Linked DNA regions of Drosophila melanogaster. The gene in region 1 interacts genetically with each later gene. Each region holds a gene or a part of one and is shown on either strand. Other genes may lie near its edges.

Evidence for each region.
Region 2: of Lsd-1 (region 1) and mrt, changing one suppresses a phenotype caused by changing the other (phenotypic suppression), as found in Drosophila melanogaster (one study listed by BioGRID).

Annotation. Positions count from the first base shown.
Region 1 is NT_033777.3:23,762,317-23,767,360, forward strand, and holds Lsd-1 (lipid storage droplet-1), read left to right. Parts: upstream 1-1,921; 5' UTR 1,922-1,996; coding exon 1,997-2,000; exon of another isoform or gene 2,001-2,069; coding exon 2,070-2,368; intron 2,369-2,432; coding exon 2,433-2,643; intron 2,644-2,784; coding exon 2,785-2,862; intron 2,863-3,195; coding exon 3,196-3,380; intron 3,381-3,559; coding exon 3,560-3,750; intron 3,751-3,813; coding exon 3,814-3,991; intron 3,992-4,057; coding exon 4,058-4,207; 3' UTR 4,208-4,346; downstream 4,347-5,044. Other genes in the region: udt (undicht), read right to left, coding at 1-114, 233-651, 741-789; CG10214 (uncharacterized protein), read right to left, coding at 4,447-5,044. UniProt on the Drosophila melanogaster protein: Required for normal deposition of neutral lipids in the oocyte.
Region 2 is NT_033777.3:27,276,677-27,284,423, reverse strand, and holds mrt (martik), read left to right. Parts: upstream 1-1,762; 5' UTR 1,763-1,807; intron 1,808-2,576; exon of another isoform or gene 2,577-2,671; intron 2,672-3,393; exon of another isoform or gene 3,394-3,439; intron 3,440-3,712; exon of another isoform or gene 3,713-3,847; intron 3,848-3,994; exon of another isoform or gene 3,995-4,063; intron 4,064-4,381; 5' UTR 4,382-4,432; coding exon 4,433-5,246; intron 5,247-5,320; coding exon 5,321-6,834; 3' UTR 6,835-7,175; downstream 7,176-7,747. Other genes in the region: CG3368 (uncharacterized protein), read right to left, coding at 1-466, 520-582; CG5938 (uncharacterized protein), read right to left, coding at 7,687-7,747.

The DNA.
Region 1 (5,044 bases):
CTGATAGGTGACGTTGAACTTCTGGTTCTGGATGAGGAACTGCGTTCCTGCCGTTTGACAGGACTGAATGCGAGCGTCGGGCTTATCGCATACGCCCGTGAATCGGAATCGGTTCTATAATAAAAGTTCAAATCAAGATCACTAATCAACATAAAATGGATATGTTTCTAGACCCTTAACTAAACCGCACCATGTGCAAATTATGTGATCTATGAATCTATTTTGATCTTACCTGGTACGTAAAATGCCACACTCCCTCCAGCGACGATCGGCAGTTGATGGGCACAAAGTTCTCGTTAAAGAGCGTTATCAACTGCTGGTCATCCTTAACACCACGACACACATAGTCCACGGTGGGTTCCTGTCCAGCGGGTATGCCCACGCAGGGCCCCTCAAACTTTTCGAACACATTAAGGGTGCGGATGATGGTCCTGACACAGTGATAGCAGTCCTTGGATCGCTCCTTGAAGACAAATGAGTACTCGTCGCCCTTGTGGCGCATGTAGTTGATGCAGTAGCCTCGGCTGGACATCGAGGTGGCGTCGATCACCGTCAGCGTGGGCAGGCCCGTTTCCCACGAGAACCACGATCCCTGCAGGATCTTTGGAATGATGCAGTTGTCCTTCTGCACCAGGTTGTACTGACCGAGGGCTGTAAAATGGATGGGCTTTAGTTTCGGGTGGCCAATTCACATGATTCACTTGGAGCCTTGGGTGTGGCTTGGGAATCGAATCACTGACCTGAGCCCATTAAGCCCACCAGGCAGATAGCAGCCAGGTAATAATGCATTGCGTGTTTGGTGTCCTCAGAACTAACAACTAAACATATTTATTACAATTTACTTTCAAATGGAAGCAACCAAAGGCGGTTTTAGTCAGAAACAATAGCAAAACACGCAACAAACACAAATTACCAATGATGGGCAAAGGCGACCTTACTAACACTGGCTTTAACGAAGAGCTAGCTGCACAGCACTGGCTGATAGCTATTAATCCACTCTTTATCAAATTGAGCGTTACTTTTTGAACTTAAAAATAGAGATTAATATTATTTACATATATGTATTTTTTTACGACTTTTCCTGGATAATCTAGACTCAAGTTTATGCTGTATGCAGCATAACTACTTCGTTGTATGCAATAGCTAATACAAATATATAATATCAACTCTTTTAACAATTCCTAAGAAAAATCGTTTCTATTAAAACGCTTTTTAGACTTACTCTATAATCTTAATGACACGTACTCAGACAACAAAGAGCTGTAAAAGATTAACCCAACCATACATTTTGTAATGAAATATTATTACTTGAACCTCAAGTTTAAATTTTTAATTAGCACTAGTTGAGCTATTACATACACATTGCCGTTTAATACAATTAGATATGAGATTTATTAATAAAGCTTAATTTATAAAAAAAAATGTTTCCATATCTATATATAGATTTGAATAAACACGCTTTTTGCAGTCTAGGGTTAATGGCAATGGAGTCTGGAGCCCCAGAAACGGGCACATCGAACCCGAGGAAGAACGCCCCCGCAATTATTCAACGGACTGCAGTTTGAACCTTTTCGTCACTTGTGCGGAATTAGCACAGCAATTTTCGCCATTACCGCTGCTAATCGGGTCATATATGGTGCGATTATGATCGCTGTACAGATATTCCTGGAATGTGATTCACATGCACGGAGTTCCTAAGCTGCAGTCCCCATATAGTACGTTCGAACTTTGGAGTCCCACACTAGTGCGAATGGCGTGTTTGCTGATAAGTCCGGCGGAGCGTCTAGGTGAACGGTGTTTGTGCCTCCATCCACGCCTTATCTGCTGGCAAAGGTCATCTTGGACTCCGAGCATGATCGGCGATCAGACAGCGGCGATTTGGTGTGCCAAGTCTATATGGTAGCAGCTCGATCGGAGGCCTGCCAGTATCAATTGAGCCGGCGACAGCAACAGTTCTCGCATCTCAACCGAATCTTCTCGAGAAATCCCAACACAAATGGGTTAGTGACACGCGCTGCCTGGTAGTGTCAACCCCCATTAATAATACGACTTTAAATCTTTGAACCCAGCAACTGCAACCAGCGGCAGTGGACTCCATCTGGAGGCCATCGATCGCATCGGCTCCATTCCCCTTGTGGAATCCAGTGTGAAGCGGGTGGAGACCATCTACGATAAGGTGAAGAACAACAATAGGCTATTCTCATGGTATTTTGAGACGGCGGAGGCCACCATTTCGGCCGCCTACGAAACCATCCAGCCGGCGGTCAAGCTCTTCGAGCCATCCATTCAGCGCCTGGACAACGTGATGTGCAAAAGCCTGGACATTCTGGAGCAGCGCATACCACTGGTCTATCTGCCGCCCGAAATGGTAAGTAGTCGGCTAGTAACTCCCCCCCATGCGCTGACAAAAGGGCATAATTCTCTGCTTGAAGATGTACTGGAACACCAAGGAGTACATGTCCGATCACCTGGTGCGTCCGGTTCTGAAACGCGCCGATTCTGTCAAGCAAATCGGTAATGCTGTCCTCGAGAGTCCACTTACCACTTATGCAGCCGAGCGCATTGATGGCGCTTTCACAGTCGGCGATAAGTTCGTGGACAAGTACCTGGTGCCCATCCAAACAGATCAGGATCAGACCGATGGTGAGTCCTGGTATCTCACATCTGGGTTAATCTTCAAACGCATGTTGGGGAATCTATTACATTTCATTTTATTTTAAACTGAAGTTCTTATATTTTGGCACTTTTACTAAACTAACTATTTATAATTCAAAATTGTTGTAGTGAAAAAATTGGTTTCGGCCCTGAATGATAACTTTTCGCCGATTCGACAACAATTAAACCGAATGTTTGGCCACAAAAGTTAGTATGCAAAATTACATATTTCTCCATATAACTAGAGATAATCAAAATCATATGAAAGATAGTTTAGTTTGCCAAAAGTTTTACATAAAAAGTAAGCGAAAGCAAGTGATTTGAAAAGTCAGCATCCAGGCAAATCACCTTAAGGTGCACTCATCTCATAGTTTATTTATAAATGCCCACGTTGTCGGGAAGGTTATCTCTGGGGAACGGCGGATTCATTGAAACCTGAAGCCAGAGAAAGTTGCGATAAGCTGAGCTCTGGCCGGAATTTGCTCTCTCATGCTCAAAAAAAATTGTATAAGACACTTATTCCGAGTATCCGCCTTGCAGGCCCACAGGAGGATGATAACGAGGCCGTGCCGGACGAGAGGGGCGCCATCAAGGCGATCCATCATGGTCAACGCTTCTCCCGCAAACTGAAGCGCCGCCTTACCCAAAGAACCATCGCAGAGGCTCGCGCCCTCAAAAAGCAGAGCAAGGAGGCGATCCACGTGCTCTTCTATGCCGCAGAATTGGTCAGTAAAATTCAGTAACCTATTTGCTTTAATTTTTGAGTATCATTTGGTAAAAAAAAAAACCATAAGATTACAGTAACCAATTCAAATTACTTACGAAATGATTACGCAATGTCTGTTTGTATTCTGGTGTACAACCGTAACCCAAATAACACTTTTAAACGAAACCCATTCCACAGATTGCCACCGATCCCAAGCAGGCCGTTCAAAAGGCCAAGGAACTGTGGGTCTATCTCAGTGCAGATGAACCCGAAAATCAAGCGAGGCCCGCCACTCTGGAGCAGTTGATTGTGCTACTGACCCGCGAATCGGCTAGGCGTGTGGTTCATCTAGTGAACTTCAGTGCTCATGTGGCAGCCAACATACCCAGGTTGGTAGATCCCGCCTCCATCCTTATCTTTCCATGTGAACCCCTTCGAACCAAACCTTACAGAAACCTGGCGCACACGACAACAGAGGTTGCCCACCATATTATCTATATCAACCACCGCATCATCACAATCTCACGGCTGGACAAGGTTAAAACCATCTCCAAAGAGGAAGCTGAATCTCTTTTCAAGCGCATGCTGGCGTTCTATGGTAGCCTTCAGGGCCTGACCAATGCCTACCTGGTAAGAAAGGATGTGATACTAGCAGTCAGACGGAAGATGATTATATATATTAAATATATTCGACAGGAGCGCGTGGCCAGCTTTCTATCCGGACGCATGGAGGCCGAGAAGGTGACGGGCAGCGATGGCGGCAATTCCAACCACCGGTCATCGCGGAGGAGGCAGGATCCGAACCATTATTCAGCCACCCACAATAACATCAACGGCGTCTACTAGCATTGAATTCTTTATTGCTATCGTATTTTTATTTCTGTTTCTCCGTGCATATACGGAAAATACACTAAACGATATTGTACATCTATTTTTAACATAATGCATTTGTCAATAATATAAGCCTAACTTCACGCTTAACAATACAACGCGGACTTTTATCCAAAATTATTATAGACTCATATTGCCAATAAAGCATTAGGTATTGAAAGAATTCCTAGGGTGCTTTAAATTCTTGCTTTAATTTATTTAAATAAGTTCGCTTTGTAATACGCAAGCTCTTTGATGCTTTCTCGGATGTCGTCCAGACTACGATGCGTGAAAGATTTTTTGGGAGCGGAATCCAGAATTGCGGGATGCCATCGCTTGGCCAGTTCCTTGATGGTGGACACATCGACGATGCGGTAATGCAGGTAAGCATCTACCAATGGCATGAATTTCATAATGAATAGTCGGTCGGTGTAGACGGAGTTCCCACCAAGCGGACAGGCGCGCTTTGGTATGTTCTTCTCGAGATAGGATAGCACTAGATTGGAGGCTTCTTCGAGATTCACATCCGAGCTCTTGCATCGATCAATAAGACCTGAATTGTAATGATGTTTCATGCACCACTCGTTCATCGAGTCGTAGACCTCCTGCGGATGGTTGATGGCAAAGCATGGTCCCTCCGACTTCACGTTCAGGTCCTGGTCCGTAATGATGCAGGCCACCTCGAGGATTTTGTCCTTTTCAATGTCCAGCCCGGTCATCTCCAAGTCCATCCACACGATGTCCGTGTCTAAGCCACAGGTGCTGCTCATTCTGTCATTTGAATTGAATGCGATGTGGCTCCGAATTTGGCGG
Region 2 (7,747 bases), 3.5 Mb from region 1:
CCTCACGGGATCCCGTTTGCGTCTGGCGTTGCAGGCAGTGATAGAAGTGCTCCAACTTCAGCGGAAGGAGTTGCAGCTTGGGGAACTTCTTTACCAGCAAGTTTGTGGCCTTCAGCACGGCCATCAGGCTGGGATTGTTGCGCTGCAGAGCCTCAATTATGGCAGTGGTGCATTTTTCCTCCAGCAGCGCAGCATCGAGACGCTTCCAATGGTCGGTGAGCAGAATGGATTGGAGCATCAGGAAGGCAGTGGGTTGCTCGCTGGTCAAACGCTGGAAAAGATCCGCGAAGTGCGAGTCTTGTAGTTCGTACTTGTGCACTATGTGGTAGTACACACGGAAGCTAATGTTCAGGGCGGCTTGATTGGCACCACTGCACGTGTCCGCCTGCGCCGCCTCATCCTCCTCCGTCTGTATTCGTTGGGCCAGCTGCAGTGCGGCATCCTCCGGGCGGACATCTCCCAGGCCCTAGAAAGAACACAATATGTTACACCTCAGTCCCCGTGCCGTACTCAATTCACCTGCAGGTAGCAGAGGCAATCGCTGGGTCCGATTTTTGGCCGTTTTCCCGGAGATTCCGACATGCCCAATCTCAATTCTCACAACTTTCGTCTTACCACAACCAGGGCTCCACAAAACCGGCCACTGCGCTACGATAATTGCGCGGTAATCGATAATCGATGGCTTTTCGTTATCTAAAAACTTGAAACGCCCAACCGTTGTTGATTAAAAATTATGTTTCCAATTAATGTGACATATAATTTTTATATTTATCATTTATAGCGGTACCAAGTACTTCGTTTAGAGACTCAGTGTTTAAAATTTTCGTTATATTTTGTGAGGGATGGCTGTCTGGTAATGTTAACTAGGTACAGGGTACTGTATTCTGTTTTCTTTTACAGCGTTTTTAAATATTAAAAAGATGATAAATTTTTTTTTTTTTTAATAAACTTTATTAACAACAATCTTTGAATATAAAGCTTTCACAAAGCAGCTGTTTGATACAACCGATAAAATTAATTCGATAGCAGAAATTGCAGATCCGTAAGTTCAAAAGTTTTCTTGACAACCACAGCGCGTACAGGAAACGAGAAAAATATAATATTTTAAAGGTATTTCATGCAATCGATATAACAAACCGAAGACCAAATTGGCTCTTTGTTTTTTCAAGTGAGTGCTCCCTACAAAGTTCGTTATGATAAGAAAATGCATGTGTTTGTGCTCTTGGATTCAATGCTTGCAAGGTTTGCCTCGCGTTTTGTTTATTTATTTGCATACATGAAATTCAGATAAACGTGTGGATTTTCCTAGAACTGGTGCCATGCGTAATTAATGCAAATGCTTTCCGCATTTCCCAGCGTCGTGCTGCTCATCCACAGAGAATAGCTGCAGCCGATTTCAAGTTTCCTGTTCTGGCATCGCTCCCAGTTCGAAAACTCCAGCTTCCCCGCAACCCATCTTTTCGGTCCGCCCAATACTTGTAAATCTAGTTTCGACTGACTTCAGCACATGGCTTTCAGATGCGATACGAGATACAACCTATTCGCATTCTCGGCATCTGCCACCCCGAAAATTTCAAGGAAGCTCGGCTGAATGCGAATTTTTTGAACCAGTATTCAGCAGGTCGCCTATGTACTCGGTGTACATGGAGTTCTTATGCCGCAAAGGGGTAGTTTCTCACCTGTAAGAGGATTCACGAAAACCTTGTTTACCACACAGCTTGGCAGAAGCTCGATTTCCTACTGAGAATCCAATTTACAGTAGTCTCCCGTCGACAAGAACCTGAAATCGAATACCCAAAGGCCTAAGGTAATTCGATATCTTTGCTATTACACAAAAAGCAAGTTATTACAGTCGAGTGCGATTATCTGCGTTCACTTTGCTCTGACTACAGTGCGCACCAAAAGTAATCTCCCACAAGAACTTTGAAATGCTATAGTTAAATCCGTTAAGCCGTGAGTTTCGCTTTATTTTTAAATACTATTGCTCAGTTTCTAAGCTCAGTTATCCAACGGGCTTAAATCTCCAAAGTTTCAAACCTTTGAGCTAACACTCTTAACTTAATCTGCAATATTGAATTTAAAGATTATAGATAGTCTGAAACTTTCCGTTAGAGTCTTCTTCACTTCACGGAGAATGGCAGACGAGCGGAAAACAAAACTTGAAAAATCATTATACTCGATTTCAACATGTGTATACTACATTAAAACTGTAGCTTTTTGCAGTTTTTATTTGCTGTGTGTGTGTGTGTGTGTGTGTGTACGCGCGCGAACCCATAAATTTATATATTCCCCGAAATAACCCCGTTCTTAAAAAAAGAGCGGAATAAAAACGTAAATGGCAGCGAAAGAAGAAAAGGCGAAATAAAAAATAATAGGCAACTGTCTCTCCGGCAATCTCTCGCAATCTCAAAAACAACTAGCGACCATAACCATTATTTGTACCTTCCGAATACGAATACGAATACAAGTACGAACACGAATATATAACGTCGTAGCGCACACGCACACCAGCACAGGTGGCCGTTTATATAGTTGGGTTTTTGTAGGCCCGTTCGTCGCTTTTTCGAGTTTTAAAAATTAGTATTGAAATCGTCGTTAACGGCGACGGTTTGCCTCAGTTTTGACGCTTGAAAACGGTCGTATTTTCCACTCTCTCGCCGCTCTCTCGCTGGTAAGTGTGTGTGCAGTGAGCGAGCGCGTGCATGTGTTTGTGTGCAAGGTGTTGCTCTGCTTGGAAATAAATAAATAGTTCAAGTCGAACGAACTATTTGAAACTAATTGGCAGGCATGTGCATTAAGTTATCAACCGTTGCCATTAGCCGATTAGCGAAAAATGCCAGACAAAATATCACTTGTCAATAATGGATGTTAGTCACTGTGAAGGAAAGTTACGTTCTGTTTCTTTTTCTTGAAAAATTCTCAACTGCACATAACAAGCGTAAATTCGTTCGTCCCCGTCCGTGTGTGTGTGTGGGTGAGCCGAGCTGTGGCGAGAGCAAGACAGCGAGTTTAGTTCACTCTCTCGGCTCTCGCCAACCCGCACACCACCCCCCCCCCCCTACACCGTGCTCCATCTATTGGCTTATTATCGTATCTTTTTCATTACAGTGCTCTGCAGGCGATTTAAATTAAGTTGGCAATTACATTTCCATCTGGGAATTCAGTGGTTAGTGTGCCAGTTCGGAATTAGTTTGTTAATTGGGGCTGCCAAGGAAGAATCCGCCATGCAGAGCACACATCATGTGATATGTCATTCTGAAAGCTGCTTTTCGAACAACCCCCAACCACTGTGCGAATCTTGGTCGTCGTCGCTGGAAAAATACTCAAAATTTGAGATTCGATTCTAGTTTCAACCCGCCACTATGAATCTTTATATGTAACTTGCCCGCTTTCATTCATACTCGTTGTTCAGTACTGGCGGCGTATCATCCTCCGAATTGTAAGATGCGTAATCGGTTCTTAAATGTGTATTTCTACGCTGTATTCGGTTTTCGGCATTCGACGCTATCTTGTTTACTTGCATTTGGAAATCACTATCTCAAATATGTTCTGTTATTGAGCGTGTTCCACTTGCCACTTTGTCGCAGTGTATCTGTGTGCGGGAGAGTTCGTTTTTTACGTTAGCTTTTTGCTGTCATTCGTTTTGAAATAATCAAAATCGATAAAAAATTATATATATATATACATATAAGTTTCGTCGCTTTAGATTTGTAAGCTCTTTTCGTGCATTTATTTGGCTACGGCGAGCGTGTCGGTGAGCTGCCACCTTTGATGGGTTTCGATTTCGATTTCGGTTTCGGAATGTGTTAAACAGTTGGAAACACGTCAACTTTACACAAACAAATGTGTATGTGCCAGTAAATATCGAGTTGGTGGTGGATTCTGAAGACGAAAACCGAAACCTAACCGAATCCACGACTGCCTAACTTTTGACACAAAAAGTCCAAAACTGGATTTTTTCGTTGGCTCGTAGCCAGCATTTTTTTTTTAAACCATCTGCCAAGTGAATTTCCAGTGGGCAGAAGTATACATATCAAACGGAAGTCGATTTGCTGATTGAGAAGTTAGAATCCGAATCATATTTAATCAAGTTTTTCTGCAGTTTAAAATACCTATGTGATTTATGTAATATAGCCTTCAAATGAAGCGCGTAGCATGCTTTTAGTATAAATAAAATTTGATTACTAAAACAAGATTGAAGTAGTCATTTTTGGGCACAGAATGCCTACTATATGAATATGACTGACAATGTGTCTAAAAACTGAATTTTCGAGTTTTCCAAAACTGGTTATGACATCGGTTGTCAAGTCAATATTTCGTGGTTTTCGAAAACCAATTTTTAAACTAATATTGGAATATTTTCTTGCTTGTTTTCCAACAGCATCGGGAATTTAAGACCTTGATCAAAGGGTGCACCCTGAGAGCCACATCCATGTTAATGCCTCGCTACTTGGATAGCTCCACGTCGTCTGGCAGTCACGGAGCTGCAGGAGCGACCAACAGCTCCTCCTCTCCGCCGACGACGGTGGCCGCTCACACGAAGATGCGGCTGCTAAGTAAAGTGGAGCACAACATGCGTCAGAGCCAAGGTCACATCCAGAGCAACCAGAGCAACGCGAGCGGCCAGGACATCAACCACCTCCTGCACACGGCCTCCACGGGCAACGGCGTGGTGGACGATGTCGACGGACTGCTGACGCCCATGCGCATTAAGGCGCACATGTCGCCACCCTACTCCGCCGGCAGTTCGGTGAAGAGCGATTCCCTCGGCTATAGCCCTCGGCCGGAACGCAACCTGTGGAGCCGGGCCGAAATGCTGGAGATGCTGAGCATCATGCAGAACCTGAACGCCCTCGAGCAGCTAAACGACCGGAACATGAAGAGCGAGCAGGTCTTCCGGCAGATCGAAGAGGTGATGCGCAGCAAGGGCTTCGTGAAGAAGTCCAGCATTCAGATCTGGACAAAGTGGAAGTTCCTCAAGTCCACGTACAACACAACAACGCGACATGGTACGGGTGTGCCCAAGGTGGTGCCGGAGGAGGTTTACCGCGTGCTCTGCCGGATGTTAAGTGATACAAATCATGGCGGCGGCAACAGCAATGTCAACGGCAGCCTTAGTGAATGCGGCAATTCGATGGACAGTTCCAAGACGGCGGGCGATGATAACAAGGAGGATATTCTCGGAGTGGAGCATCCCATATTCGGCTTCCGACTGGGACCCATTAAACCCGAGCCAATTGATATAGGTGAGTGGGATTGTCAAAATGAAAGTATGTTAAGAGAGTCATTACTGAAAACACGTACCATTCTATATTTGCAGGCTATGAGACGACCGAAAAACATGATATGGTGTCCGAGCCCGACATGGAGTCGTTCGACTACGAGGCAGGAAGCTCCCATGCCGACAACGGCGACCAGGAGGATGTGCCCCACTTGCCGTTTATAGTGTCCGTTAAACATGAACCCGACGTGGATCTGGGCATGGACACCACCAACACACCGCCGCCCACAGCGCCAGCCTCGCCTTCACCGCCACCAGTAACTGTGGATGACACCGAAGATGACAGCGTTTACTCATCCACGCCGGTGGCACCACCTCCCCTGCGTGTGGCCTCCTTTGCCAAGGGCGAGTTGCGACGACCCACCCACGGCATACTGCAGATCGACCGCCCGCCACCGACGCTCACCAAGATGGGACAGCAGCAGATACCCAATCCGGGCCAGATGAGCCGGTCCGTGCCGCTTCAGAGCACCAGCAGCATAAACTTTGTCCACCCACACAGCAAGTTAATGTTACCGAGAAGGCAGAATCCGAATAGCAGTCAGTCCGGGCTGCGACTGCCCAGGGATATCAGTGTCCAGTCGACAGGAATGCGTATGAAGACGGTGCCAATGAGGGACACGGGCTACTCGCTGCGTCCGGATCGAATGACTCACGACATCGATCAGTCCACGTCCAGTCCACCGCAGTCGCCGTCCACAATGTCCAGTCTCTTGGGTCGCGGGCCGCCACCGAAGTATCAGATAGCTGGTCAGCAAGCAGGTGCTTCCACCAGCAGGCAGGCCCACATGATGTCTTCCCACCAGCTGACACCGGTGCAGCACCAACAGCTCCAGCCGCGAAAGCGTCGATTGGGCCAAAGTCCGGTGATGGGAATGCCCGTGCCGGTGAAACTGCAGCGCAGCAGTAATATGTACGGCTCAGCTCCGAAAGATATCCGATCTCACCCTGCGGTTGGCGAGGAGAGCAAAAAGAAGTCCAGCGAGGAGGAGACCAAGCAGCGCAGAAAGCGTCAGGACGAGCTGCTGGCCAAGGAACTCAGCCAACTGGCTTCTGCCATGCGCACGGCACAGAAGGAGATGTTGCAAGACTTCTTCCTCCAACAGAAGGAGATCGCACGGCGGGAGCACGTGTTCCAGATGAAGCAGGACTCGTTGGTAATGCGGACGCTGCGCAGACAAACAGATGCGCTGCTGAGAACAGCCAACGAGCTGGTCAGTGGAGTTTCCGAGGCAGCTAAAATGGAGCCCGACGATAAGGAAGGTGTCATTCCCGAAACTCAAATGCCGTTCGAGCCAGAAACCGAGCTTCAGACTCCGGAAAGCGAGGAGGACAATGAAAATGGAGAAGGGTATGCTGGCGATGATGTGCAGGAAACTATGGAAGAGCCAGATTATGAAGACAATGAAGATGATGATTATGAGCACGATGAGGACGAGGAAGACGAAGGCGACTACGACGAGAACATGGCCAATGACAGCGACCTGGAAATGTCCAATCTAGCCATGTCCGAGGGCTCCAACAATGCCGAAATCATTAGCGGAGGGCACTAGATGGCTATCTCCTAACTTCCTAACACATCGCCAAGTATTACCCCAAAAAGACAAACACCATTGTTAATACCGATTCATTCCAATCGCATTCCTTAAGCTATATATACTAACCATATATATATATATATATATTCCTAGAGCCAGACCCGCGCATTGTTAAAAGACTTGATTATATTTAAGCATTAATACATAAATGAAACCTAAAGTAAATTAAAATGTATTTATTGTTCATCAACCGTCTATGCCCCAAAGTGCTGTAAAGTTATTGAAACCACAAAATACTTAGGTAACCATATGATATATATCAAAATATATATGTACCTTGTACATTACATGAACAGAATATGTGTGAATTTGTTCGGGTATCGAAAGTGGGCTTTGAATTCTTAGTTGAAAAATATTCATTTACTATGAATGCAGTTAGAAAAACACATTTTCGAAATCACTGTAAATTTCCTAACACGAAATTTATTAAATAGTATTGCATTAGTTTGGGAAACAAATAAGAATTTACAACTAAACGAAAAACAGAAAAAGTAGAGCGCCCTAAAGTTACGAGAAATCAAACTTACCGCCTAGAGTTCTTGCAAAATTTTGTTATAAACCGAACATGAAATAGTAGCTAGCTTAAAATGACAATCTGCGAGTGCACTAAATTAGTTAATGCCCATTGTGTGTGCTGTGCCTGCGCCTGTCCTGTCCTATGGATTAGTGTACCTATACTCTCTGCTGATTAGCACGATCCGTAAACGCCTAAAGCAAAGTGTTAGCAGCTAGTGTTTATTTTACAATTACCATTACGACAACCCCGCGACCCTGTGATACCACGCCCCTCCTCCTCCACGACGGCACTTAGTCGGGCCGGTAGATGGGCGTTTTGGGTATAAATTCAATTAAAATAACATACTCCATC